Oryctolagus cuniculus: one gene and its partners. The protein of the gene in region 2 interacts with the protein of the main gene of each other region in a pairwise test. Links are inferred from orthologs where the notes say so. Each region holds a gene or a part of one and is shown on either strand. Other genes may lie near its edges.

Region 1 (3,500 bases), on a different chromosome or scaffold from region 2:
AGCTGCCTCAGGAGCCCTGTTGGAAGCTTTTTTTTTTTTTAATTTATTTGACAGGTAGAGTTATAGACACAGAGAGAGACAGAGAGAAAGGTCTTCCTTCCATTGGTTCACTCCCCAAATGGCTGCTACGGCCAGTGCTGTGCTGATCCGAAGCCAGGAGCCAGGTGCTTCCTCCTGGTCTCCCATGTGGGTGCAGGGCCCAAGCACTTGGGCCATTCTCCATGCCCTCCCGGGTCACATCAGAGAGCTGAACTGGAAGAGGAGCAACTGGGACTAGAACCAGCACCCATATGGGATGCCGGTGCCACAGGCGGAGGATTAACCAAGTGAGCCATGCGCCAGCCCCCTGGAAGCTGGTTTAAGTTTTCGTGACTCCTGTAGGCCATGCAAACTTTTTTGCAACAAAATGAACTTACCTTTTAATACCCCCCCTTTTTTTTTCATGAACTGCTTGAGCTGTTCTCATATTACGAAAAGATCTGGACCGTGTTGTTCACTAATGTGCTAACCCCTCAGGCCCTCAAACAGCAGAGCGTACCTGACCCTCAATGCCTGTAGTGCGGCCTTGCCTTGTCGGGACTGGAAGCTTCCCATCTTTCTCCCCCTGTGCTTGTCTCCCACTCTTCCTTCTCAGGTCAGAATTCAGCAGTCTCTGTGTGTGTTTTCCAGCCTCTGTGCAGAGCGAGTGACCTCATGCTATGCACACTTGCTGGTGAATACTCCTGCCTGCGATACCTCTCACTGGCGTTTAGGTCCCATGAGCCCAGGCTGAACCTTTTGTGCTTCGCAGGGCCGGGATGACTGTCAATGATGATGGGAACCTGGAGAGCTCGATGCCCCAAGCCTCATCCCCCTCTTCCCTCGCAGGAGCAGATTGGTCCTCTTCCTCCTCCTGTCTCTGTGTGTGCCCTCGCTACCCTCCCAGCACCAGGGACGCATCTCACCTGCGCCAACTTATCTTTGAAGGTCCCTGGAACTGGCAGGGTCGCAGGCCCTGAGCCAGCAGGCCGAGCTCATCTCTCGGCAGCTGCAGGATCTGCGGCGGCTGGAGGAGGAGGTGCGGACGTTGCGGGAGACCTCGCTGCAGCAGAAGATGAGGCTGGAAGCCCAGGCCATGGAGCTGGAGGCGCTGGCTCGGGCAGAGAAGGCCGGCCGGGCTGAGGCCGAGGGCCTGCGGGCCGCCTTGGCCGGGGCTGAGGTCGTCCGGAAGAACCTGGAAGAGGGAAGCCAGCGGGAACTGGAGGAGGTTCAGAGGCTGCACCAAGAACAGGTGAATCCTGGGGCGGGAAGGGTTCGGTCTCACAGCAGGGTCGCAGTAGCTCCCTGGCAGAGGGCAGATGTCAAAGAGACCTCCATGAACCATGAACAGTGAGGTCTTGGGTGCTGGAGAAAGACACGGGTGGCGTGGAAAGAAAACTTGGGTGTCTCCCCCGGGACTCAGATGACACCCCCCCGCCCAGTGCAGGAAGCCCCCCTTCCTCTTCGGAAGCAAGTAACCCACCTCCTTCCTTAACTGCAGGTGCCCAGTTCACGTGGGAGCATTGGGGGGGGGGACAGTGAGGAGGGTTACTCAGTCATTTCTCAGTGCTTGGTCATCACCATCCTAGTGAGCAAATCTGAGTCCTGGCCCTCGTGGATGGAACCTACGGCCAAGTGGGGGACACGCAGGGTCCACATTCAATGTGGTCATTATTTATTAATTACAGATGGAAGAAGTGCCTTGGAGGGGAGCCCTGACTTAGTCTAGGGGTGAGGGCGGGCCACCGTGATGAGCCACAGATGTCACGAATGAAACCACAGAGGCACTGGAAGAGAAGTTGGTGGGTTCCCTTACAGCCGTGGAGTGGGTAGAGCCCCCCTGCCTGTGCGTGACTCGAGCTGCAGGCAACTGGTGCGGGGGTCGAGTTGTCCGTGAGGACGCTGTGCCCCATACCCGGGTGCCTGGCTGCCTCGCCCTCGGACCCCTGACTTCAGCTTCTTGCTCATGCAGATGGGAGGCAGCAGGTGACGATGGCTCAAGTGGCTGCTTCCAGCCCCTCCGGTGGGGGACTTGGATCGAGTCTCCGGCTACTGGCTTTGATCCCCCAGCTGTTGTGGGCATTTGGGGAGTGAAGTAGCAGATGGTAGCTCTGGCTCACTTGCTCGCTCTCGCTCGCTCTCTCTCTCTCTGCCTCTCAAAGAAATAAAAATAAAGTAAAAATAACTATATTTTCTAAAAAATCTGGAAGCCATGAAAGCAGATGTTGATAATTGAGTTTGTGGTGTTGGTGCCAGGAGTGACGCAGAGTTAGAGTGAGTGAGAAACCAGGGAAGCGCACTTCCAGCGCACATCCCAGGAGGAGACCAACACCCTGAGATACAGTGTGTGCCCAGGAATCAACAGAGAAGGCCACGGCCCCGGCAGAAAACAAAGGACATAGGCAGGTCGTAGGAGTGTGAGAACAGCCTTTTGCTTCGTGAGAGGCGCAGTAAGAAGCAGCTGATGTTTGCTTAGCACGAGTTGGCTGGTGAAGGGGCGCGTGGGCTGGCGAGGGGAGCTGGGGCACTCCGGAGGGCAGCTGTGGGGCCCGGGATGCTGGAGGCCGAGGGGCTTGAGTACAGGAGATGAGGGACCCTGGGTGGCACCGCAGAGCTCCCGGCGTTCAGACCAGTTCAGAACTTTATGGGTTTTTTTTTGTTTATTTGTTTTGACAGGCAGAGTTAGATAGTGAGAGAGACAGAAAGAAAGGTCTTCCTTCCGTTGGTGCACCCCCAAATGGCCGCTACGGCTGGCGCGCTGCTCCAATCCGAAGCCAGGAGCCAGGTGCTTCCTCCTGGTCTCCCATGAGGGTGCAGGGCCCAAGCACTTGGGCCATCCTCCAATGCCCTCCCGGGCCACAGCAGAGAGCTGGACTGGAAGAGGAGCAGCCAGGACTAGAACCTGGCACCCATATGGGATGTCGGCACCACAGGCGGAGGATTAACCAAGTGAGCCATGGCACCGGCCCCAGAAATTTATGTTTTTAAAGATTTATTTATTTATAGGTTTGAAAAGCAGAGTGATAAAGAGAGGGAGAGACACACAGAGAGATTGTCCATCTGTCGGTTCACTCCTTAAATGATTATAACAGCCAGGACTGGGACTAGCTGAAACCAGGAGCCCAGAACTATATCTGGGTCTCCCACGTGGGTGGCAGGGGCCCGAGTACTTGGATCATCATCTACTGCCTGCCCAGGTGCCTTTGCGGGAAGCTAGATTAGAAGCAGAGCATCTGGGGCTTGAACCAACGCTCTGGTATGGGTTGCCAGTGTCACAAGCAGCTGCTTAACCACGCTGCCCCGTAATGCTGGCCCAGAACTCTGTGGCACAGCAGGTTACACCGCCACCTGATATGCAAGCACCCCATACAGGCTGGTTTGTGTCCTGGCTGCTCCACTTCCAACCCAGCTCCCTGCTAATGACCTGGGTAAGCAGTGGAAGATGGCCCAAGTATTTGGGTCTCTGCCATCCACAGGGAGAC
Region 2 (3,939 bases):
CGGCGGCAATTGGAGGGTGAACCAACGGCAAAGGAAGACCTTTCTCTCTGTCTCTCTCTCTGTCCATTCTGCCTGTCAAAAAAAAAAAAGAAAAAGAAAAAGAAATGGTGAGGTTTATGTAGATTTTTTTGTCATAAAAAATGGAGGGGCTAGCACTATGGTGTGGCAGGTAAAGCTGCCACCTGCAGTGCTGGCATCCCATATGGGCTCTGGTTTGAGTCCCAGCTGCTCCACTTCTGATCCAGCTCTCTGCTGTGGCCTGGGAAAGCAGTACAAGATGGCCCAAGTCCTTGGGCCCCTGCACCTGTGTGGGAGACTCAGAAGAAGCTCCTAGCTCCTACCTTCAGATCGGCACAGTTCCGGCCGTTGCTGCCACCAGAGGAGTGAACCAGCAGATGGAAGACCTCTCTCTCTGCCTCTGCCTCTCTATAATTCTGCCTCTCAAACAAAGAAATAAATCTTTGAATTAAAAAAAAAAAAAAAAGGAAAAGGTACAGAAAAGCTGGTTAGCCAAACTGGAAAGCAAATTATGTTTCAACATTATACCCCACATAGAAATAGATTCCATTTGAAAAGCGAAACTTTTTAAAACTCTTAGAAGAAAATACAGGAATACACAATTCATACTCTGAGGCAGAGAAAGGTTTCTTAAACTAGACCCACACACTCAAAAGACAAGCCATTTAAAGGAAATCCTCCATGAATATCACATTAAAACTTAAAACGCCTGGAAAGGGAAAGCCAAGCAGGATGCATCGGCCAAAGGTTCCAATCCAAAGCAGCCTAAGTGTTCCTGGTGAAAGAAGGGCACAGACTGACTTCACACTACACAGAGCAGCGAGAAATCAACGGGCCACAGTCCGGAGCAGCAGCCTGGTAAACCTCCATCCACTGCCATCTGAAATGTGGACCCCTGCGACCCAGCATTTCTCTTTCATTCACAGCCACAACGGTCACTGACGCAAAAACGATTAATAAATTGCACTTCTGTGCAAGACCCGAAGGCAAGCGGGAAGACACGAGGCCATGGAGACACTCAGAAGACCCCTAACACTCCACCATGGGAAAGTCTCAAAAACATGCTCTCAGTGGAAAACAAGTCGCAAAACGACGGGAGCACCAGGATGTCATTAGGGCAGGGGAGAGAGCGCATGTTCTCTGTAGTGCCCGTGTGTGCGTGAAAACGCAGAGAAAGATCTGGAAGAACCACACCAGACAGTGGGCTCTGTGGAGAAAGGACTCGCCGGGGGCCTCCTATTCCGCCTGTGCAGGTGTGCGTCCCAGCCACAGCACCCCACGCGCGGCACACACTGCGGGGGCTGCCTGCACGGGAACCGCAGCCCGAAGCCTGGCAGCACGCAGCTGGCACAAGCAGACGCCGAGGCTCCGCGCTTGTGTAATCAGAAGTAAGGGAAAAGGGGGAGGGAGGGGCTGCAGAGCCGCAGGAGGCAACTCTCCGGGGAGCTGGAAATTTCCATACCTTGCCCGGGACAGCGGCTACAAAGTGCCTATGGTTTTCCAAATATCCAAGTGTACACGAAGAATGCGCCTTTTATCATATATATGCAAACTGTACATCGGCAAAGTTAATTTTAAAATAAATGCATCCATAAGATAAGATACAGTCAGGAAAGTCTGGAAGAAGGTGCCCAGAATTGCAGAAATGAGGCGCCCCAAAACAAGAACTCGCCGACACCTGCCGGCTGCCCCTTAAGTTCAAAGGCCCTCCAGGAAAAAGAGGGAGCCCTCTGCAAGGCTGACCACCCTATTTTTTATATAAGGAAACAAGCAAAGACGCAAATTAAAAGGCAAGTTGAAATTCTATTGGTTCGAAGTCTCATTTCCCACCGTGAGCAGAAATCCTGTGCGCGGCACAGCAGACACCAAGAGCCGAGCCCCCGCCGGCACGACCCCCTCCCGGGCAACTCCGCTCTGCAACCCGGGAGCCCAAAGACCAGGCTGGAGGTGACGGGTCCAAACCGCGGCCGAGGGCGGGACCGCAGGGACCCCCACCCCCCAGCCGAGGTCCCAGGACCAGGGCGAGTCCCCAGCACGCGCCAGCCCGCGCCGCCGCCGGGGACGCGCCCGGGCCCACACCGAGCGCTCGGGGGACGCCCCCTGCCCCCGGCCCCCGGCCCGACCCAGCGCCCGGGGCTGCCTCGGCGGACAGAGTCGGGGGCGGCCGCGGGTCTGCGCTCGCGTCGGGAAGCAGGGGAACTTCCTTTCTCTTCCCAAGTCTGCCGGACCCGCTCCTGCCCTCGACGCGGGACCCTCGGGATGCCCCCGCAGCCCCGCCGCGCGCCGCCCGGCCCTTCCCGCCGCACTCCGCAAGCCGCCGCGCGCGCGGCTCCGACCAGTCCGGACCCGGGGCGCGGGGCGCCCGCCGCTTTGTGTCGCGCCCGCAGCCCCCGCGCAGGCCCGGGCCGGCAGGTTCTCGCCGAGGCGCCTCAGGGAGCAGGGCGTGCGGGAAGCGGCGAGGAAGCCTCCCTCCGCCCGGGCCTGCCCGCCTCACCTGCCTCGCCCGGCACCCGCCTCAGCGCCCCTCCCCGGCCGGGCCGCCGCAGCCGCCGCGGGCTCCCCACCTGGCTCGAAGCTGGGGGCGTCGGCGAGGGCCCGCGCGGCCGCAGCCTCCTCCGCGTCTCCTGCCCGGCCCCCCTCGCCTGAGACTGCGGCAGCGGCGGCGGCGGCGGCTGCTGTTCAGGCCCCGGAGCCGCCCCCGCGGCGGACGTCCTCCGCGCCGGCCCGCGCCGCCTCCTGCCCGGCACGCGCAGCGAGCCCGCCCCCGGCGCGAGGGCGAGGGCGAGGGCGAGGGCGAGGGCGCGAGGCGCAGGGGCGGGCGCGCGCCGCCGGGGAGCGCGCGGGCGGAGGCGGGGCTTCCGCCGCGCGGGCGGGCGGGGGCGGGGCGAGTTCCCGCCCCCGCCCCGCCCCGTCCGGAACCGAGCGGCGAGCGCGCGCGAGCACTGGAGCGGGGCTGGTTGGGGGCCGCGGCTCGGAGCTGGCTGCTGCGCACGGGCATCCTAGGCGTCGCAGCTCTGTGGAGCAGGGGGCGGGAGAGGGCGTGTGGTGTGAGGGTCTCCGCTGCCGCCCTGAGCTCGCCTGGCGCCCGCCCCTCCCTCTGCAGCCGCGAAGGGACCGGCCACCCGCAACTAAGGGACGCGAGCGCAAACGCCGGGTTCATAAAGAACTGTGGGAGTTTTTTCTTTTTTTTAAGATGCATTTATTTGAAAGTTGCAGAGAGCAAGAGAGAGTCTTCCACCCGCTGGTTCACTCCCCAGATGGTCGCAAGGGGCTGGGGCTGGGCCAGGCAGGAGCCAGGAGCTTCTTCCAGGTCTCCCACGCTTGTGCAGGGGCCCAAGGACTTGGGTCATCCTCCACTGCTTTCCCAAGCCACAGCAGAGAGCTGGATGGGAAGTGGAGCAGCCGGGACTCAGGCTGAGGCTGTACCCGCGGTGCCATCACACCAGCCCGTTTGTTCGTTTTTACTGAGCACTCACAGTGTGGTAGGCGTTGAAAGGGTGAAACATTGGCTCCCTCCTTTGGAGAAAAAAAAATGTGTAAATCACGAAAAATAAATATGTAAATGCAGCTTGGTGTGTTTGCTCATTCACTGAAACCAAGGTAATTCAGTAAGTGAGCTAGCCTGAAGGTCCCTCTGGGCTGGCCGGTGGATGGGAGTGCCTGCTCCAAGTCTTAGCTCCCTCTCCTACACCTCCCCCCTGACGTGCACCCTGGGCAGCAGTACCAGGGCCCGAGTCCGTGGGTCCGCGCCACTCAAGTGGGAATCAGGAGAGGGCGTTCCTGGGTTGGGGCTGGCCTGGCTGTTACAGGATTTGGGGAGTGAACCAGGAAACAGAAGGTGCCCTCCATCGCTGCCTTTCAAATTAAAAAGAAATTTAAAATAAATCAAAATGTTTTTTAAAAGCAGATGGTTTAAGAGAA
Region 3 (2,420 bases), on a different chromosome or scaffold from region 2:
AGAGGGCGGCGGGGTCGGGCTTCTCCAGCACCTTGGCGATGACGCAGGTGGGGACGCTGTCGGCGTAGGCCGGGTGGCAGAGCGGGGCGGGCAGGCTGCAGCCGTGTTTCTCCAGGTGCAGGCTCACGCGCTCCTGGAAGTCCGAGGGCAGCTGGAACGGGCGCGAGCAGGAGTCGCAGTCAGCGCGCGGCCGAGGACCACGGTGACGGACGTGACCCACACGACAGACGGACAGACGGACGGACGGGACCCGCCCGGGCTTCTCACTTCACACAGTGGCAGCCCTTGCGGGGGCCCGCCGGACACTTCCACCCACCCCGCCCCACGCCAGCGGGGCCCAGCAGAGCCCAGAGGCTGCCACGGGCCAGACGAGCCGGAAGCCTGCCCGCCGGCCTGCCCCACGGGCGCTCGGCTCCTCCCCCAGGCCTGTGGGCTCTGCTGGCGCCCCGGCCCCAGGCACACTGCCCGGGTGCCCGGAACGAGACAGACTCAGAAACACATGCAACAAAGATCGACGGGCCAGGGCCAGGCGCCCCACGGCCTCCGCACCAGGGCCTGGCCACGGTGCGGGGAGGGGGGCCGTCCCACTACTGTTTGATCTATTTTGTGCGTGTCTTAGGTGTGGCCGAGGCCCAGGGCGGGGGATGCAGATGAGGCCCAGGAGGGAGCCTGCCTGTAGGGGTGGGCGTCTAGGGCCTGTGTAGGCTGCCACACGCGGGTGGGGGGCTCTGCCTGGTCGGAGCCCTGCCTCTGCTGCCTGTTCACCCCACGGCCGTGGCCAAAGCCCCCTTGCTGAAGGCAGCTTTCCTGTCTCTGAGTCGGACACTGCCGATCGTGGGCTGCTGTGAGGTGTACCCTGGAGGACGGGGGGCGGAGCCTGGGCTCAGCCCCTGGAAAAGGGGGGCACCGGGCAGCCCGGCCTCTGGGCCGTGTGGCAGGCGGGTCCAGGAGGGGCTGAGGGGCCCAGGCTCACCCAGCAGCTTCCTCCTCAAGGGCAGGGACGGCCGCGGGTGGGGCGGGGGCGGGGCCTGGCTGCGGGGCGGGGCCCACGTTACCTCGGACACCTTATGGACCCCGCCGTAGGTCTGGCTGCACTGCAGCAGCTGGGCCGCTAGATTGCAGTCCTTCCTATAGAGCTCCTAAAAGACAAGAGACGGCGTTGGGCGCGGCCCGCCCGCACCGAGGGGCCCTCCGGCGGGGCCGCGGGCTGGCGGGGCCGCGGGCTGGCGGGGGCTCCGTCCGCCCCGGCTGCTTCACGCTCTCGCCTGCAGAACGGGCCTTACCCTGACCTGGAGCTGCTGGGGGTAGGCAGGGCTGCAGCCGCCCCACGCGGGGGCCCGTGGGCCCTGCAGAGGTGGGAACCCGTTACGGGGGGACAGGGCACGGTGGTGGAACGGGGGCCTGGTCTCCCTGGCCCCAGCCTGCCAGAGCCCTCCAGTGCCGGGCGTATCTCGGGCCCGCCACGTGTGCCCCTTTCTCAGCGTGTCCTGGCCACAGAGCTGGCTGCGTGGCTGGGCAGGGGCTGGGGCAGGTGAGTGACCCCCAGGTCCTGGCGGGGACTGGCTCAGCCTCCTGAGCGGAAAACAGATGCAAACAGTAGGAATGCAAGGGTTTACGTTGGTCTCTGGAAATCTCTGTTGCATGTGCCTGTGGCTGGATCTTCCCTTCCCACCCGCCCAGGAGCCCCCAGGCCTGGGGTCCCGCCCGCAGACCCCATGAGCCACCAGGCCACCAGCATTCGTGGTGACGTGGCCACGCTCCGCCCACGGCCAGCTGGCCAGGGACCCACGCTCCCCTTCCTCTGCCCCCTTGGCACCAACCTCCAGGACCCCAGACCCCAAGACCCCCGTGGGCTGAGCCACACCAGCCTGCCCCCCCGTGAGCTTAGCCACACCACCCTGCCCCCCCCTGTGAGCTTAGCCACACCACCCTGCCCCCCCGTGGGCTTAGCCACACCACCCTGCCCCCCCGTGGGCTGAGCCACACCACCCTGCCCCCCCGTGGGCTGAGCCACACCACCCTGCACCCCCGTGGGCTGAGCCACACCACCCTGCGCCCCCGTGAGCTTAGCCACACCACCCTGCACCCCCGTGGGCTGAGCCACACCACCCTGCACCCCCGTGGGCTGAGCCACACCACCCTGCGCCCCCGTGGGCTGAGCCACACCACCCTGCCCCCCTGTGAGCTTAGCCACACCACCCTGCCCCCCCCCCGCGGGCTGAGCCACACCACCCTGCGCCCCCGTGAGCTGAGCCACACCACCCTGCCCCCCCGCAGGCTGAGCCACACCACCCTGCCCCCCCGTGAGCTTAGCCACACCACCCTGCGCCCCCGTGAGCTTAGCCACACCACCCTGCGCCCCCGTGAGCTTAGCCACACCACCCTGCCCCCCCGTGAGCTTAGCCACACCACCCTGCGCC
Region 4 (4,288 bases), on a different chromosome or scaffold from region 2:
TTCTCTGCCAGTAGTTCAAAACAGGAACTTGAGCAAGCTCCTTGACCAGTCATCTTTATAATGGAGCTCCTAAGACCTAACTGATTTCATTATTGTGATGAGTAAATGAGAGAAATAAATGACAAAAGCCACAGAAAATAGTGACAAGGTCTGTACAGGAGTTCACTGTATTTGGGTTAAATGTTTTCTTATATGCCTTTCTCTTTAAAACCTTAAGGAAGGTATATGTATTCCACACTATGCAGAAGTTATTACAGATGCCAAATAAATTCTGATTACTGAATAAGAATAAAAGATAGTTAAAATGTATCAGGCATTCAAAAGCTTTCTTTACCCAGGGCACATTTTTGGTATATTTGGAACTACAGTTATTTTTAGAAACATATGCTTCAGGGTTTCTCAAAGTTGATGAAGCATTAGAGTCACCTGTAAGACACAGAGTGTTGGCTCATACACCAACAGTTTCTGATTTTCCGGGACTTGGGTATACTTGCTTTCTTTAAAGTTCACATGTGATACAGAATAGCCTAGTTTGTGAACTCAAGAACTATACATATGCCTTGTCTAAACATGAGTTTATAGAAAACTCAAAGTACAAGATGTAAAAGAACTTATACTCTGGACAACATTGTCCGTGAAAGTTCAGGGAGATACTTATGCTAATGAGCAGATATGAATCCAAATCAGCCCCAAAACATTTTTTTTCATTTTGTTTTAAGAAACTTTTGCTTATATGCATATCTCTACACTAAGGAGAGAAAATGAGATGGCCCATGGAAATGGTGTTTTTAATCTATTTTTAATCATAGTGATTTACATAAAATTACCTACAATTAAAATTAGACTTCATGTTTTACTTTATATAGAATTTGACAGGCAAAATGGCAGTATTATAATGATGGCATCCTAAATATAAAATTTATAATTGACTATTAATATAAACATTATTGTCTGATTCAATGTGTCATTTTTATATTTATCCTTTATTTATTTCTGTGCCAAGCAATTGAAAGCTTGACATAGAAAAATGAGTCTGTCACTTTAACAAATGGTACTATAAAAACACTCAAACAAATAGTTTTAGTAGGGATTATTATGATAGCAACACGAATATTTTTCTAGAAAGTGTTACCAATGTTTCCTATAAATGTTGGGCTCAGTTGATAAATAAAAATAGTAAGGAAGAAGATGAAGTCTTCCTTTGGCAGTGAATGATTTACAAACATGCTGGATGACACATTGTATTGGATACAGGCAAAAAAAAGGCTCTGTTGAGAAGCATTAAGTGATCATTAGTTAAATGCGTAAGAGAATGATGTTTTAATAATTTGCACCAAAGAAATTTAACAAGGAGTCATTTGTTAGTAAAGAATTCTTATCATAACCACAATTAAAATGCAGCATTTTAAAAGCGGTTTTGTTCCCTTCTAAGTGCTCTTTATTTTAGCAGAAAACTTGTTCCATGAGACTAACACACATTCTGCCTTCAGAACTTAGCTGCTACATTCTGCTGTTGCTTCTCTTATTCAGACTGTTGCAATCATCCATATACAACTTTTGATTGGATCCTGATGGTAAAAATTAACTTTGGTAGACAGTGGATACATAATGAATGCATAGATCATTCTGGGCATACCGTTGTATTCAGTAGAGTGAAGTTTTGGGGGTTCTTGGAGGGGAGAAAGAAAATCATTTAAAAGTTCATTCTGGATCAGAATTTTCAGCTCTGTTGTTTTAGAAATTTATGTAATGTTCTAGAAAATATTGTTATGGTTTGTTACTGAAGGCTTTTTGTCTTCAGAAGGCTTTGAGAGCAAGTACTTTATCCACTGTGCTATTCTGGTTGGATACTGATCACAACACAGTTGAGCATTATTTGAATTCACTGGGCTTTCCATGCTGGGAGCACAACCTTATATGTAGTGTCCATGGGCAGTCCTATTATGGGAAACCAACTTGAGAGAAAAGGCGGGTCACTTGCTTGTGCGCAGGTCCTGGAATGTGAAATATCCAAGGGCCTCTACAGAATCCTGGCATCAGTTACTGCGTTGACTCACTCAGTGTTGGGATCACTCACTTTCTCCTTACAGACTCAGAACTTGGAGGCAATTGCCTTCAGAGAAAAACAAATAGGAAAAACTGAAGTGTTATTTTTTTTGAAAGCTGCTGAAGTTTATTGGCTTCTCGTCATTCCTAAGCCTACTGGAGCAATAAAGTTTGAAGAAATTTTTACCAAGATTTTTATCACAGCCTTGATATATACTTTTTTTCCAAATGCTTTGGTGGGAAGAAGTAGAGGACTGTTGTAAGTACAAAGTAACTAAAAATATCTCTTACTGTGGTGTAACTTTTTGTTTGTGATAATCTCAATGATTAAGCAGGTTGATTTTAAATTATGGCAGCTGCTCGTGAATAATCTTAAATGTTCTATATACTGTATATATATGTATATATACTAAGGTGTATGTACTTCCCATTGGGAAAACTTTCAATAAGAAATGAGGTATATTTGGGTTTTTTTCAATATAGGCAAAAACATCTTTCTTCTTTAAGAAATCACTAGATTAACAGAAAATGTATAACAGGTCTGGAGTATTAGTACAGAGCAGTTGATTTCTGTGAAATAGTTTCTATATATATGAGTTATTATTTTGATTATTTAATACTTGTGTATTTAGTGGTGGTTCCATGTAGAGTAGTGACCTGACATATATTCTCAGTGAATTAACTGCTTTGTTGGAATGATATACAGGCCTAAAGATTAGAATAATGTTATGTGGCATACCTTGGTGGGGGGACAAAGAACAAAATTGCGTTGTGATGGATAAATGACAGATGCGAAAATATTGATAAAGGTTTAATTTCCTTTCTCACATTATATTTAGTGTTTTGAATTCTTTTTTATAGCATGAGAGATTTTTTTTTTTTTCAAATAAGTATGTGATCTACACTGGCAAATGACCAGTCTCTTGATGAGAAAACAACATAAAAACTTGAGGGATGTCTCATCATATTTTGTAGAAAACTGATCGTGTTGTTTCATGACTGTTGTGACCAACTAATTCAGTAAATATTTTTATTAACTTCTTAAAAAAAGAAACTATTTTGTTTATGTTTAAGAAAGTCATGATGACTAATGAAGAATTTAAAAATTAACTATGGCACAACAGTAAAAATGATATATAAGGACACTGTGTCCCAAAGAGGTGGTTGAAGGAGATTATCTTTTTCTTTTCCTGCCTTGACATGTGAATTATGGTCATTCTGAAATAGATATGAAGGTAATGTCTATAATTAACAATGAAAGATTAAATCTCTCCAAATAAGTAATAATATATCACAACTTCTACAAAAAGAGTCAGAAGTTTTGCCACAGAAAATTTGTGAAGTAAATAAGCACCATTCATTTCTTAATTCACATTAGATGGTACTAGATTTCATTAATATGACTTTTTTCATATTGTGTCCTTCAAAAATTTCTGTGGTGAGCATCAGCATCACTTCCTGATTGAAAAACTATTCCATCTAGTAGCATTACAAAAATACACATAGCTACACATGTATACAAATGCATATTTCCCTTGCTATTTCTAGTTCTTTCATATCATTAATCTATCAATATTGTCAAACTTATGATTGATTATCTATAGCTAATAAAATTAAAATACACCAATACATAGAGATATTTGGAAAGTATCACAAATATGCAATTCTGGAATGAAGTAAGATAAATCTATACTCTTCTTTGTCATAGATATTCAAATAACTTTTTAATACATTAGAATTTGAAAAGTTGACCTTAAAAAAAATGCTCCAAAAGGAGCATTTTAAAAACAGCAAGTAATACCTTTGCAACCTGACAATGAGTTTAAGAGAAAATAGAAATATTATCAGGGTTATATTATACATTAATTTTTCTATTTGACAACATGCTATTATTTGAGTGTTTAAACATTTGAATCCACGTTGTAAAATTGCCTTAGTATGAAAAACTTAAAAGAGCACATTTGATTGCTTTTTGACCAAAGTAATGGCCCTTTAAGAATATCACTGTAGTAATACACATATTGTTTGCTTTTAGAATTACTCAAATAATCCATTGGAAACAACTGCTCAAATAATTAATTGCAAATAGACATTTCATTTGAATTTTTAAATGATGCAAAGCATCATGAGATGTAATAAAATCACCTTTTAAAATTTCATTTGCAAAGCCCTCTTAGGGCATTTAACTATGAAAAAGAGGTTGCTGAACTGAATTGATAACATAGTTTTTAAGATAATAATC
Region 5 (4,072 bases), on a different chromosome or scaffold from region 2:
GGCAAACACGGGCTGGGTGCGCTGAGCCGCTGACCCTCAGGAGAGCTGCAAATCAGTGATCCAGACCCTGGTTCGGAGAACCGGGCACCCCTGCACCCCTGCAGAATCGCAGACCTAAGTGGTGGTTTTTTTTTTTTTTTTTTTTTTTTTTGTACAATTTTAACATGGCAAAGAGCTGGGGCAGAGATGCAGATTCGGGTTCGTGTGTGGTCCCTGGTCACCCAGTGCTTGTTCTAGGTGGTCTGACCCATGGAGATTCGAGGGATCACCTGGAGGGTTCGGGTGCGGCTCCTGGCTGCACACCAGCACCCAGAGGCCAGTGGGGCCGCAGCCGCTGCCCTATCGTTTTGGTTTATGAAGACCTTGCGCTCTCTGCGCCCGACCGTGCAGGGGGCGGGCACGCGTGCGTTCCTGAACGCTGGGACCCGCCACTTTTGCGTGGGATGTGGCACGCGGCAGGCGCTTTTTTAGGCGCTTGCGGAAAGGGTGACTGGTCACGCACGACTCGCAGGAGGGCTTCCCCTGCCCGGTTCCGCACCTGCTGGGCTCTCAAAGGCCCGGCCCCCGAGGGCAGCTCGGAGGTGCCTCCCACGGCGCAGGTCCTGCATCCCGGAGCTGTCCAGGGACAGGAGCGGCCGGTGGCTGAACCAGCCGTGCCTGCGAAGCCTGCACGTCCCCGCACGGCGCCCGTGAGCCTCGAAATCCGACGCTGCTGGTCTTGGCCGCCCCAGGTGCGGCATGTAGCGTCGGAACGTGGGTCTGGCGGGGCCGCCGCGTCCCGCCCGCCCTGTAAGGATCCGCCCGGGGCCGCTCCGGGACCGACGCGGCGGGGTCCGGGCCCGGCTGTCAGCGGGCGTCGGAGGTCGCGGTTCGCTCTCACGCAAGGTGGCGAGTAGCAGCGCCAGCCCCGGGAGCGGAGCGCCGACGTGACGTCCGGGGAGCTCTGGCTCGGGACCTGGCACACCGCCGGCGCGGGGGCAAAGGCCTCCCGCGCTCGCACGGCTGCGGGAGACTCGGGGGCAGCACGCAGGCGGAAGCTACAGCGGCCACCTGGCTCCGCGGCTCCCACCTGTGGCTCCGCCCGGGGACCCGTGTGGGCGGGGCGGGGCGGGGCGGAGCCTCCGCAACGCCCAGCCAATCGGCGCCCTAGCGGCCCCGCCCACTGCCTCCCGAGGCCGCGGCGCCTGCGCACTCGCGGCCGCGGCGCCCCGGGGCCCCTCCCCCGGGGCGGTGCTGACGCTCGCGCCGACGCGCCGGACGTCGGGCACGTTGACGCCGGCGACGCGCAGCCGGGCCCGCTCCTCCTGCGCTCCGCCAGTGTCCGGCCGCTGGCCGGCCTTCGTGACGGGCGGCGGGCCGCGGGGCCGCGGCGTGGGGCGGGCGGGCGCGAGCTGCCCGCGGCTGCCTTCGTCGGCCCCTGAGCTCGCCCGCAGCGAGCCGCCGCGGAGCCTCGTCGCCCGCTGCCGCCGGCCAGCAAGGTGAGGAGCGGGGGGCTGAGGCGGGCGCGGGGCCCGGGGCGCCCGGCGCCGGCCGGGCCGTCCCCGCGGACGGAGTGTCACCTGGGGGGCCGGGACGCCGCGGGGGCGCGGCTGGGGGCGCGGCCCTCGGCGGGGAGCCCCCACCCAGCTCGGCGCCCCGCTGCTCCCCGGGGGGCTCAGCCCTGGGGGCCGCGCGCTGACCGCGGCGCCGTGGTGACCCCAGCGCCGGGGGCAGGGGCGAGGACCTGTGGCCACGGCGGGCGGGCCTTGTCCCAGGGGCTCCGAGCACCCCCGGGTGCTGGGGCTTGTGCGGCACCTGACGCGGGAGGGGACGGAGGTGCGAGCGGTTGGCGGTGGCCGGCGCCCGCCAGGTGCGCGGCGCTGGGCTGCTGGCTCTCGGGGGTCGCGGTGCCCCGGCAGCCTCCGGAGCGGTGCCCGGCCTTTCCGCCGGAGACACCTAATAGCCTCTGGTCAGCTCGCCTTTCACTTTTCCTGGCTTCCTCGCTGGCCGTCCCGCGTGGAATTTCCACCCCCGCCTCCCCCAGGTTTATTTTTTTTGGGCTGTAAACTGACGTAAGCGAGGTTGACTGACCAACCACGGCAGCCGCGGAGAAACACCTCTGCCCGCCCTCCCCGGACCCGGTTCCCAGGTGCAGCCCGGCATTCGCGAGCCGACCGCACGCGTTCCCGTGCGATGCCCCCTCTCTGCCCTTCCTGCCCCGGCCCCGAGCCGGGCGGCAGGAAAGTCAGGTACCAGAAGCACGCGGAGAGAGCGGAGCCTTGCGGGCACAGCACCCCGCGGGCCGCTCTGGGTCCGCTCTGGGTCCTCGCTGGTCGCGGCCCCGGGCGTCTCTGCCGACCCCCTGCAAGCAGGCAGGACTGGGAGTGGGGACAGCCGGGTGCAGGTGTGTGCCCCGGATGACCGGGCTGCTGCCTGTCTTGCAGATGATGTGTGAGGTGATGCCGACCATCAGTGAGGCAGAAGGCCCCCCGGGAGGCAGCGGGAGCCATGGGGCCGGCTCCCCGGCCCAGCCCGACGCCGACTCGCACTTCGAGCAGCTGATGGTGTCCATGCTGGAAGAGAGGGACCGTCTTCTGGACACGCTGAGAGAGACCCAGGAGACGCTGGCGCTGACGCAGGGCAAGCTGCACGAGGTCGGCCACGAGAGGGACTCTCTGCAGAGGCAGCTCAACACCGCGCTGCCGCAGGTGAGGGCGCCCTGCGGCGCGGCTCCGGGCCGCTGTGGCCATGGCGCGGCGCGGCTCCGGGCCGCTGTGGCCATGGCGTGGCGCGGCGCGGCTCCGGGCCGCTGTGGCCATGGCGTGGCGCGGCGCGGCTCCGGGCCGCTGTGGCCATGGCGCGGCGCGGCTCCGGGCGGCTGTGGCCGCGGCTGCTGACGGTTGTGCTTGCCGCAGCGTTGCTCGGGGCCAGCTCCTCGGGACAGCAGCCGCGCCCTGCCTTTCCGCGCTCGGGCCTGGCGTGGCCAGCGCCCTCCGTCCTCCCGTCTCGCTCGGGCCTGGTGTGGACAGTGCCCTCCGTCCTCCCGTCTCCGGGTCTGACGTGGACAGCGCCCTCTGTCCTCGGGCCTGGGTGTGGGCAGCCCTCTCCGTCCTCCCATGTTGCTCGGGCCTGGCGTGGGCAGCCCTCTCCGTCTGCCGTCTCTGGGCTTTCCATGCAGAGTGTGAATTTCCTGCGGATTCTGTCCCACCGACCTGCAGTTCCCCTGAGGCGTCTGGTAGACAGACAGCTGGGCTTTGCCCTGGACTGGACAGCTGTGTTTTGTGGGTCAGGTTTGTTTCAGGAGCTGGGAGACTGGAGGTTGACCCCAGGGGAACTTGAAACAGCTGAGGCTGTTTGACCTCTCAGGGCGTGTCCTGCGGAGCTGAGTGGGGTTCAGTGGTAGGGGAAGGAGACGAGGGCGGGTGGGCCGCCCAGAGCACAGTGGGGATGCGTGGTTGCTGGGGGTCCGCGAGCTGTCTGCATGCCGCGTTCCTTATCCATAGAGGTGCCTTCGCGGTGGCTCCAGGGCGCTCTGACGAGTGAGCAGGTGCAGGACTGCTGCCCCGGTGCCCTTCTCGGCCGTCCTCGGCCGTCCTGAACACGACGAGCAGACATTCAGAGTTCCTTTTTAGCCATCGCAACTCGATGTTAGTGGTTTGTTGTGCGTTAGAGAATTCATTAAGATTTTTCTCTTTCAAGTCTTATAAACTACCAACTTTGTTTAGGTCAGATTTTAATGCCAAAAACGTCAAAGAATTGGCCGGCCCGTGTTGTGCGGGATTTTACTGTACGTGCTTGTAGGTCTTTTCCGCAGTTTCGTGTTTTGGTCATGGATACGGCACCCACGACAGTGCGTCCGACACGCGGGTGTTTGATGAGGTAGTTACCGGGTGGGGGCACGCAGGAGAGCAGGCCGGTGGCAGTGTGTGGCACACGGAGCCTCCGCGGGCGGCGGCGCCCGGGATCTTTCTGGAGAGGCCTGGTTGGCTGAAGGTGACGCCGCCGGTTCACGTCAGCGCCTGATTGCAGCACCGCCGAAAGCAGCCAGGGGACTTGTTTTGTTCCTTCTCTCTTCCTGGAATCTGGCTGGGCT
Region 6 (4,168 bases), on a different chromosome or scaffold from region 2:
TCAAAAAAGGATTTATTTATTTGAAAAGCAGAATTACAGAGAGGCAGAGGAGAGAGAGAGAGAGAGAGAGAGAGAGAGAGAGAGAGAGAGATGTCTTCCATCTTCTGGTTCACTCCCCAAATGGCCACAATGGCCAGAGCTGAGCTTATCCAAAGCCAGGATCCAGGAGGTTCTTCCAGGTCTCCCATGCGGGTACAGGGGCCCAAGGACTTAGGCCATCTTCCACTGCTTTACCAGGCCATAGCAGAGAGCTGGACTGGAAGAGGAGCAGCCGTGTCTCAAACTGGCACTCATATGGGATACCAGCACCGCAGGCGGCAGCTTTACTTGCTATGCCATGGGGCTGGTCCCCTCCATGAGCTTTTTAAGGACTACTGATACAGCCTCCTGTACTATTCCATCCTTCAGATGTGCTAATTGTAAATAAACTCAAACTGTATTCCCCATGTAGTAATTAGGAAGTGATGCATCTGGGGTGTTTATTAACTTTATATATATATATATACACACACACACACACACACACACATAACTGTAGGCTTCTATAATTTCATCTTGAATGATGCTGGGGAGGGGGTGGCAGGAGGGGAGTGGGGAAGGCTTTAAGAGGAATGAAATTACAGTTTCAATTTGGATTGGATTGCATTTTTTTAATACCAGCGAATCAGACTGTTTATTAACACCCAAAAGTGCCAGGAAAAGCTATCAAATCTGCCCTAGATTCTTCCCGAGAAGGGAGATCAGATAGAACCGTTTAAAAAAAGGCAGTGGTGTGGAGAAAAAAAAAGGTGCTATTTCATGGTTTCCCTTGACCAAGCAGTACAGTTTGTTAAAAAAAGATTGAACTAGTATAAAATATTGCTTCAAGTTTTAAAATAGCCACTCCCTAAAAGACTGTAAACCAAGCTAAACGGAGCCAGGACCAACACCATCCGTTCATCTTCATCATGGCAAATCCTCATCAACTTGGTCTCACTTCCTCCCCTGGGGGCGTCTCCCCGCGCCCCCTCCCCGCTGGCCAGAGCTGGAGCCGGACGCCCTCGCGCGCGCGTAAGCGCGGGGCGGCCGGCAGAGGGCGCTGCGGCTCCCCGGCGGCGGGGCTGCGGCCGGCGGCTCCGGGCGAGGGGCGCGGGCCGGGAGGAGGCGCCCGGGGCTCGGCGTGTGCGTCTCCGGGCGGCCGGGAGGGGGTGCGCGCCTCTGCCGCCCCGTGCCACCCCTCCAGCGCGGGCCTCTCGCGCCCGGCCGCTGTCACCGCGCCGGCACCTCGCGGGCGAGGCTCGCGGGCTGCGCTGCGCGCTCGGAGGCCCCGCAGCTTCTCTTTGTCCGGGCGAGGCGGCCGGAGGAGCGGCCGCTGAGGCGGGGAGCGCCCGGGCGTCGTGCGGGCGGCGCGGGGTTCCTCAGCCGCCCGCCGCCCGCCGCCCGGCTGCGCTCGGAGCGGGAGCGGCGGCCCGGGTGGTGCCTGCGGCGAGGTGAGTGCGGGGACGCGGAGCCGGCGGGGGCGGGCGGGGGCGGCTGGGGCGCCTGCGGGTGCGGGGGCGCCGCCTCTCCCGGCAAGTTTGCCGGCTGTCTTTTGCGGCAATCCGTGGCCGGTCGGCGGAGTCCAGACCTGTCAGTAAATCGGAAACTCCAGCTGGGGCGAGGGAGAAAGAGGAGAAGGACGCGTGTTGGAAACGGGGTGGTCGGGATGGCAGTGTCCCGGAGGGACAGCGGTGGGCTTTCGGACTTGGTTCCGGGCTCTATCCGACCCAGGTGAGCGATTCCCGCCCTGCGCAGGGCGCGGCGGGTGGCTCCGGGCGGCTGGGAGACAGGTGCGCGCGCGGAGCCGGCTGCGGGCTGCGCCACTCTCTCGGCCTCTCCAGCGTCCCAGCGCCGTTCCCTCCCGCCCGCCTGCCTCACCTGCTCCGCGGCTCCCTCGGCATCTCCGCCAGGTGCAGCGCGCTGCGTTTCGGAGGCGCTGCTGGGGTAGTTGGAGCGATTCCTCCCCATCCACCCTCGGCTTTGGATAATTTGGTCTGTGCCTTCGTCTTAATTTAGTACGGATGTGTTATTTCCTTCCAGCGTTCTAATGGGGGAGCAGGGACGCGGCTCGCTACGTCTCCCCCCACCCCCCTGTCTCATTCTGAGCAGAAGGAATCGCAGGCATACAAGTGATGTTACTACCGTTCTATTTTAAATACAAACACGGGAAGAACTCTTGCAGCATACCAGAGGCGCCTGTACTCTGTTATATAAGTGCTTTAAAAAAAATCGCCTCGTATTGGTGAAGTTCCGAGTGGATAGCAAAGCAGCTAAGAGAGTGTGGAGGTGGCAGAACCTGCTCATCTCTGCTGTCGACCAAAACTTTGCTTCACGGTAAACGCTGGGCTTTTCAGATGCCACGCAGGAAAAAAACCTCGGAAACCTCACTGGGTAGAATTGCAAAGCGTTTAAGAAAACAGATTTTGTCAGCTCTGTGCTGGACATCGGTGAGCACTGTGTGACCACTTACGGGGGTCTGGGGAGGTCACAGGTATCCGTTAACGACTTTCACTTATTGAATGGTTTTATTTTGATCTCTGATGGAAACCTAGTAATTGTTGAGTTGCCAGTTATCAAAGGCGTCCCAGACACGAAACAGAACCCCCACCCACGCGCATTCATGGTTATTTATTTATTTTTGGGTGAGGAGAAGAGGAAAGAAGAAAAGGATCAGAGGTACTGTGTTAAGGGCCCCTTAGTCCGCACCCCCCCACACCTGCTGTAATTGGTTTGGGGAGATACCCTGGCGTCTGCATTGTTAGTGGTGATTCTGATCCCTAGCCAGAGATGGGACCCATTGGAAAGCATTCTGTGAGTTTGCTGCTTTGTAACTTAAGCCATTCTCTGGTGGTTTAATAAGGTAGGTCAAAAATACATGGGGTTAGAAATACCGGAAGAGAATGACAATAGGAGATTTTTCCAGGAATTCCAGTCCCTGCTGAGACTGGTTGATATCTATCAGGGACCCATCGCTCTGCCTCCTGTGCTGAGCTGGGTGCTAAGTGGTACCCTGGCTCGTGCAGAGGTGGAAGTGAAAGTTGAGTTACTACACAAATTATGCTTTTATGTTTATGTGAGAAAGGAACCACATCTTATTAAGGGTTATTCTCATTCAGGCTTCTCCCCCTCAAATCAAAAACTTATGTTGATATAGATGAGTAAATTCCATGCAGAAAGCTTTTTATGATATTTCAGGTCTGAAATCAACCTGACTGCTGAATCAGTGCTTCTTTCTGCCTTATGTAACTCCCAGGATCCACATCGGAGAACAGCTCTCGTGGGTGGTTTATGAAGGCTTATATAAGAGCTACGACTGTGCTTTTGGTTCTCTCTTAAACTCCCTGTTTGGGCTGTTACATAATTGACTGGGAACTAGGCTGGTAAAGCCCGAATCGGGGGAGGATGCACAAGCCCCGTTCTGCACATGCACTTTTATAATGAATTGCTGCTGCTGAATTAGAGGGAACAGCAGGGATGGTGGTTTGTGAAAGGGAGATAAGAATAGCATCTCGGGGATTGATGTAATAGAGGACTGTTATGTTGAGCGATTTTCTGGAGGTTTGCATGCTGTGGTGGAACCTCTGGTCTGTTGTCTCTCTCAGCAGAGGCGGATTGCCGGGGAGGCTGATGACTCTTAAGCTCCAGGCTTCTTCAGAGCCCCTGGGAGGGGCCCTAGCACTGTGTTTGCAGGGTCACACCTGAGTTTGCAATTGTAAGTTTGGGTTGTTTTTAAACAGATAGGATGCTCTTTCTACCCTTACACACACACACCACCACTATATAAACCCTAAGATTGCACAAACCTGACTCTGCCTCCAGCTGCAGGTTGTGTCCAACTGTTAGCTCATAAAAGTGCCTATTCTTATTTTCCTTCTTGTCATCCTATGCAATGATACAATAAAAGCAATCTGGCCAGTATTGTAGCTGACTTGCTGCAAAAATGCACATTGCTAGAACATAGGTCTATGGGGAGCTATTGAAATCAGGTGGTTGGGGCCGGCTCCGTGGCTCACTTTGTTAATCCTCTGCCTGTGGCGCTGGCATCCCATATGGGCACCCGGTTGCTCCTCTTCCAGTCCAACTCTCTGCTGTGGCCTGGGAGGGCAGTGGAGAATGGCCCAAGTTCTTGGGCCCCTGCACCCGCATGGGA
Region 7 (3,547 bases), on a different chromosome or scaffold from region 2:
CTTGCCGGTATCTTACTGCATTGCCTTGCCCACTTCAGTGAGTACTAGGAAAAGGAAACATATATTGAGAAAGGTAGTTTTAAAGCATCACGATTCGAGCTGGCATTGTGGTGTAGCCGGTAAAGCTGCCGCCTGTGATGCTGGCATCCCATATGGGTGCCAGTTTGAGTCCTGGCTTCCCCACTTCTGATCTCGCTCCCTGTTAATCGCCTGGGAAAAGCAGCTGACGATGGCCCAAGTGTTGGGACCCCTGCCACCCATTTGGGAGACCCAGATAAAGCTCCTGGCTCCTGGGTTTGGCCTAGCCCAGCCCTGTGCGTTGCAAACATCTAGGGGGTGTACCAATGGGTAAAAGAACCATTTTGTCTCTCCCTTTCTCTCTGTAATTCTGACTTTGAAATAAAATAAAAATCACAATTACAGCATTAAATACACCCTCCCCCCACCCCCTGCCGCCCAAACTTCCCTCCCCCCAGAAAATGATTAAAGAAAAAAATCGCTGTCTTTTGCAGTCTGGTTTTATTTACAGCTTCACTTAATTGGGCCTTTAACTTTTCACTTTCGGGTAAAGAGTTATAGGATCTCGATCTTATAACCATAAAACCCAAGCAGACGGTCCAGGCGAAAAGTCATGAACTTGGTGTTGACACAGTGGTCCCATTCCGTTGCGTTGGTACTGGGGTCCTGGATCAGACACGTGTGTGTCTTGTTCTACAAGCCTCTCGGTCGAGCCATCCATCCTAGGTGGATGACTGATTATGCCTGAAGCTGGACATAGCGGATGTGGATTTTCAAGGAGTCACCTTTTCTTGTGTCTTCCTATTTTCTACCTTGGGCTACTGATTGGCCTCTTTTTTCCCGTAAGAGCCCTTGCAATACGCCTGTTGAAGCGGTTGTTCCGTGCTTTCTTACTGAGACACACGTCCAGGCTTCTGTAGGCTCTGGCTTTCTTCTGAAACGTCCCCTGCTCAGAGGGCACAACTTTCTCCGCCTCCCACGCCTTCTGATTCTTCTGCCGGTGCTGGGGGATGATGGGAACAGGCCTCTCCGGCAGGGTCCCCTGCTGGCGGTGGTGGAACTCCCGCAGAATCTCCACTCTCTGCTGTAGGATTTGGCATTCGTTTTCCAGCAGAGCTGCGACCACGTGCAAGGCGTAGGTGTCGCGGCCGAGCTTCCTGGCTTGTTCCTCCAGCTCACGCTTGGCTGCCACGGCCCCGCTTGCCTGGCGTTGGACATCGCCGCCACTGTTGTCCAGAGTGTCCCTCGGGTCCTTCTGAGCCACCTGGCAGGATCTGATCAGCTCGCTGAGCTCCGTCTGCTGCCGGCTCCAGTGCTCGGCCTCCTGGAGAAGCTGCTCCAAGCCGCGCCGGAGCCTGGCAGCTTCCCCCGGAGCCTGGGGCGCAGGCTCTGCCGTCTTGCCCGGGGCCCTCTGCTCCTCCGGGCGGGCTGCCGCGTCTCGCCCGGGCCGTGCAGGGCCGTCCGAGCTCTGGGCTTCCAGCGCCAGCCCTGCTCTCACTGCCTTCTGCCCCTTCTCTGGGTTCAGGGTGACAAGCAGGCTTCTCAGCAGTATTTTATTCATCTTGTCAAGTCCTCGGATTTTTTCTTTAAGTTCTGACACATCCTTGGAAATCCTGCTTTCCTCGGCTTCGGTGATCTTGTCTTCACAGCTCACCACCCCTTTGAGGACGTCTTTAATTTCCTTCAGGAGCCTTTCAAACCTCGGCGTGTCCTGCTCATCTGTGACCTTCGGCCCCCAGCTGAAGGCGGGCAGGGAGCCGATTTCGATCAAGGCCACGGTGACGTTGGAGTCTGAAGACTCCGGGTGAGGACGAGGGGTGGGTTTCAGGGGTGGGGAGGGGATGGGCTTCTGAGCGGCGCCATCTGTGCTGGCCATGGGCGCTGGGGGAGAGCAGAATCCTTGGAGATCCCAGGAAGGGGAGGGTGGCGGCCCCTGTGCAGTGCGTGGAGACCAGAGTCAAGCCTGGACCTGGAGGGGTGGTGTCCAGGTGGAAGGTGACATCGCAGATGGTTAAGGGGACGGGGAGGGTCGGGGAGCTGGGGGCTGAGCGCTAGGGCCCCACCTCCCCTCCACCAGCCTGCCCCTCTTTATTCCCTGACCCTAGCAACCGAGTCTTTATTCTGTCATGGCACCATTGTGGCCTGGCCCCAGCTTCCGTCACCTTTTGTCACAATGGAAGCCTCTTTAAGTCCTGCCCACTGACTCGGGCATCAGAATCAACCGCGAGCTGTTGAAAGAAAGGGCTCCACCACTCTCCCTGCCTTCCTTGCTCGTCTAGGCTTGGGGGCATCTCATCCTGAGCGTGCAAGGGGCCTGCCTTAGCTCACACCCATCCTGCCCCACACCGCAGCCCACTGGCTCTCTGATGTGGGTCGCAGGTACTCCAGGCACAGTGCTGAGAAGCTAATTGGGATGTTCACCGCCCCTGTTGAATCCAGGCAGGAGTCAGCGACTGGTTCTGTGCCGTATTCCAGCTCCCTGCTAATGCACACACTGGGAGGCAGGAGGTGATGGCTCCAGTACTAGGCTTCCTGCCACCCACATGGAGATCCGGACGAAGGCCTAGTCCAGCCCTGGCTGTGGTGGGCATTTGGGGAGTGAACCAGCAAACGCAAGATCTCCATCTGTTTCTTTTTTTTTTTTTTTTTTTTTTTTTTTTTTTTTTACAGGCAGAGTGGACAGTGAGAGAGAGAGACAGAGAGAAAGGTCTTCCTTTGCCGTTGGTTCACCCTCCAATGGCCGCCGCTGCAGCCGGCGCACCGCGCTGATCCTGGCAGGAGCCAGGAGACAAGTGCTTTTCCTGGTCTCCCATGGGGTGCAGGGCCCAAGCACCTGGGCCATCCTCCACTGCACTCCCTGGCCATAGCAGAGAGCTGGCCTGGAAGGGGGGCAACCGGGACAGAATCCGGCGCCCCAACCGGGACTAGAACCCGGTGTGCCGGCGCCGCAAGGTGGAGGATTAGCCTATTGAGCCACGGCGCCGGCCATCCATCTGTTTCTGTCTCTCTGCTTTTCAAGTAAATAAATTTCTATAAAGTTCCAGGGCCTGCACTGTGGTACAGCTGGTTAAACTGCCACCTGAAGAGCCAGGGTCCCATACAGGCCCCAGTTCAAGTCCTAGCTGCTCCACTTCCAATCCAGCTCCCTGATAATGGGCCTGGGAAAGTGGTAGAAGCTGGCCTAAGAGCTTGGAGCCCCTGCACCCACGTGGGAAACCCTCAAGAAGCGCTTGGCTTCCATCTGGCCCAGCCCTGGCTGTTGTGGCCATTTGGGGAATGAACCAGTGAATGGAAGATCTCTCTCTCTCTCTCCCTCCCTCCCTCCCTCCCTCCCTCCCTCCTTCTCTTTCTGTAACACTGCCTTTAAAATAAATACATCTCAAAAAATCGTTTCACATGAAGGATTATATTAGATTTGCATCCAACATCATCAAAAAGCTGCACGTGTGGGGCGGCTGCTGTGGCACCGCACGTTGAGTCGCTGCCTGCAAGGCCAGCACCCATCAGAGCGCTGGTCTGGCTCCCAGTA

What was found.
Region 1: the proteins of DTNB (region 2) and CCHCR1 interact in binary tests that used the Homo sapiens proteins (3 or more experiments, as listed by UniProt). The link is inferred for Oryctolagus cuniculus from reciprocal best matches to the Homo sapiens genes DTNB and CCHCR1.
Region 3: the proteins of DTNB (region 2) and BEGAIN interact in binary tests that used the Homo sapiens proteins (3 or more experiments, as listed by UniProt). The two-hybrid records come from large-scale screens. The link is inferred for Oryctolagus cuniculus from reciprocal best matches to the Homo sapiens genes DTNB and BEGAIN.
Region 4: the proteins of DTNB (region 2) and DMD interact in binary tests that used the Homo sapiens proteins (3 or more experiments, as listed by UniProt). The link is inferred for Oryctolagus cuniculus from reciprocal best matches to the Homo sapiens genes DTNB and DMD.
Region 5: the proteins of DTNB (region 2) and PPFIA1 interact in binary tests that used the Homo sapiens proteins (3 or more experiments, as listed by UniProt). The link is inferred for Oryctolagus cuniculus from reciprocal best matches to the Homo sapiens genes DTNB and PPFIA1.
Region 6: the proteins of DTNB (region 2) and MTUS2 interact in binary tests that used the Homo sapiens proteins (3 or more experiments, as listed by UniProt). The two-hybrid records come from large-scale screens. The link is inferred for Oryctolagus cuniculus from reciprocal best matches to the Homo sapiens genes DTNB and MTUS2.
Region 7: the proteins of DTNB (region 2) and SPZ1 interact in binary tests that used the Homo sapiens proteins (3 or more experiments, as listed by UniProt). The two-hybrid records come from large-scale screens. The link is inferred for Oryctolagus cuniculus from reciprocal best matches to the Homo sapiens genes DTNB and SPZ1.

The regions. Positions count from the first base shown.
Region 1 is NC_091436.1:139,340,023-139,343,522, forward strand, and holds part of CCHCR1 (coiled-coil alpha-helical rod protein 1), read left to right. Parts: intron 1-966; coding exon 967-1,270; intron 1,271-3,500. UniProt on the Homo sapiens protein: May be a regulator of keratinocyte proliferation or differentiation.
Region 2 is NC_091433.1:177,085,334-177,089,272, reverse strand, and holds the start of DTNB (dystrobrevin beta), read right to left. Parts: upstream 2,801-3,939; 5' UTR 2,513-2,800; intron 1-2,512.
Region 3 is NC_091451.1:44,178,888-44,181,307, forward strand, and holds part of BEGAIN (brain-enriched guanylate kinase-associated protein), read right to left. Parts: intron 1,140-2,420; coding exon 1,056-1,139; intron 152-1,055; coding exon 1-151. UniProt on the Homo sapiens protein: May sustain the structure of the postsynaptic density (PSD).
Region 4 is NC_091453.1:19,808,245-19,812,532, reverse strand, and holds the start of DMD (dystrophin), read left to right. Parts: upstream 1-1,488; 5' UTR 1,489-2,274; coding exon 2,275-2,305; intron 2,306-4,288. UniProt on the Homo sapiens protein: Anchors the extracellular matrix to the cytoskeleton via F-actin. Ligand for dystroglycan.
Region 5 is NC_091432.1:2,222,457-2,226,528, forward strand, and holds the start of PPFIA1 (liprin-alpha-1), read left to right. Parts: upstream 1-1,272; 5' UTR 1,273-1,478; intron 1,479-2,207; exon of another isoform or gene 2,208-2,228; intron 2,229-2,423; coding exon 2,424-2,687; intron 2,688-4,072. UniProt on the Homo sapiens protein: May regulate the disassembly of focal adhesions. May localize receptor-like tyrosine phosphatases type 2A at specific sites on the plasma membrane, possibly regulating their interaction with the extracellular environment and their association with substrates.
Region 6 is NC_091440.1:85,729,382-85,733,549, reverse strand, and holds the start of MTUS2 (microtubule-associated tumor suppressor candidate 2), read left to right. Parts: upstream 1-1,368; 5' UTR 1,369-1,469; intron 1,470-1,593; exon of another isoform or gene 1,594-1,749; intron 1,750-2,327; exon of another isoform or gene 2,328-2,465; intron 2,466-4,168. UniProt on the Homo sapiens protein: Binds microtubules. Together with MAPRE1 may target the microtubule depolymerase KIF2C to the plus-end of microtubules. May regulate the dynamics of microtubules at their growing distal tip.
Region 7 is NC_091445.1:3,906,572-3,910,118, reverse strand, and holds SPZ1 (spermatogenic leucine zipper protein 1), read right to left. Parts: upstream 2,107-3,547; 5' UTR 1,895-2,106; coding exon 827-1,894; 3' UTR 501-826; downstream 1-500. UniProt on the Homo sapiens protein: Transcription factor that binds to the DNA sequence 5'-CANNTG-3'(E box) and the G-box motif. May play an important role in the regulation of cell proliferation and differentiation during spermatogenesis.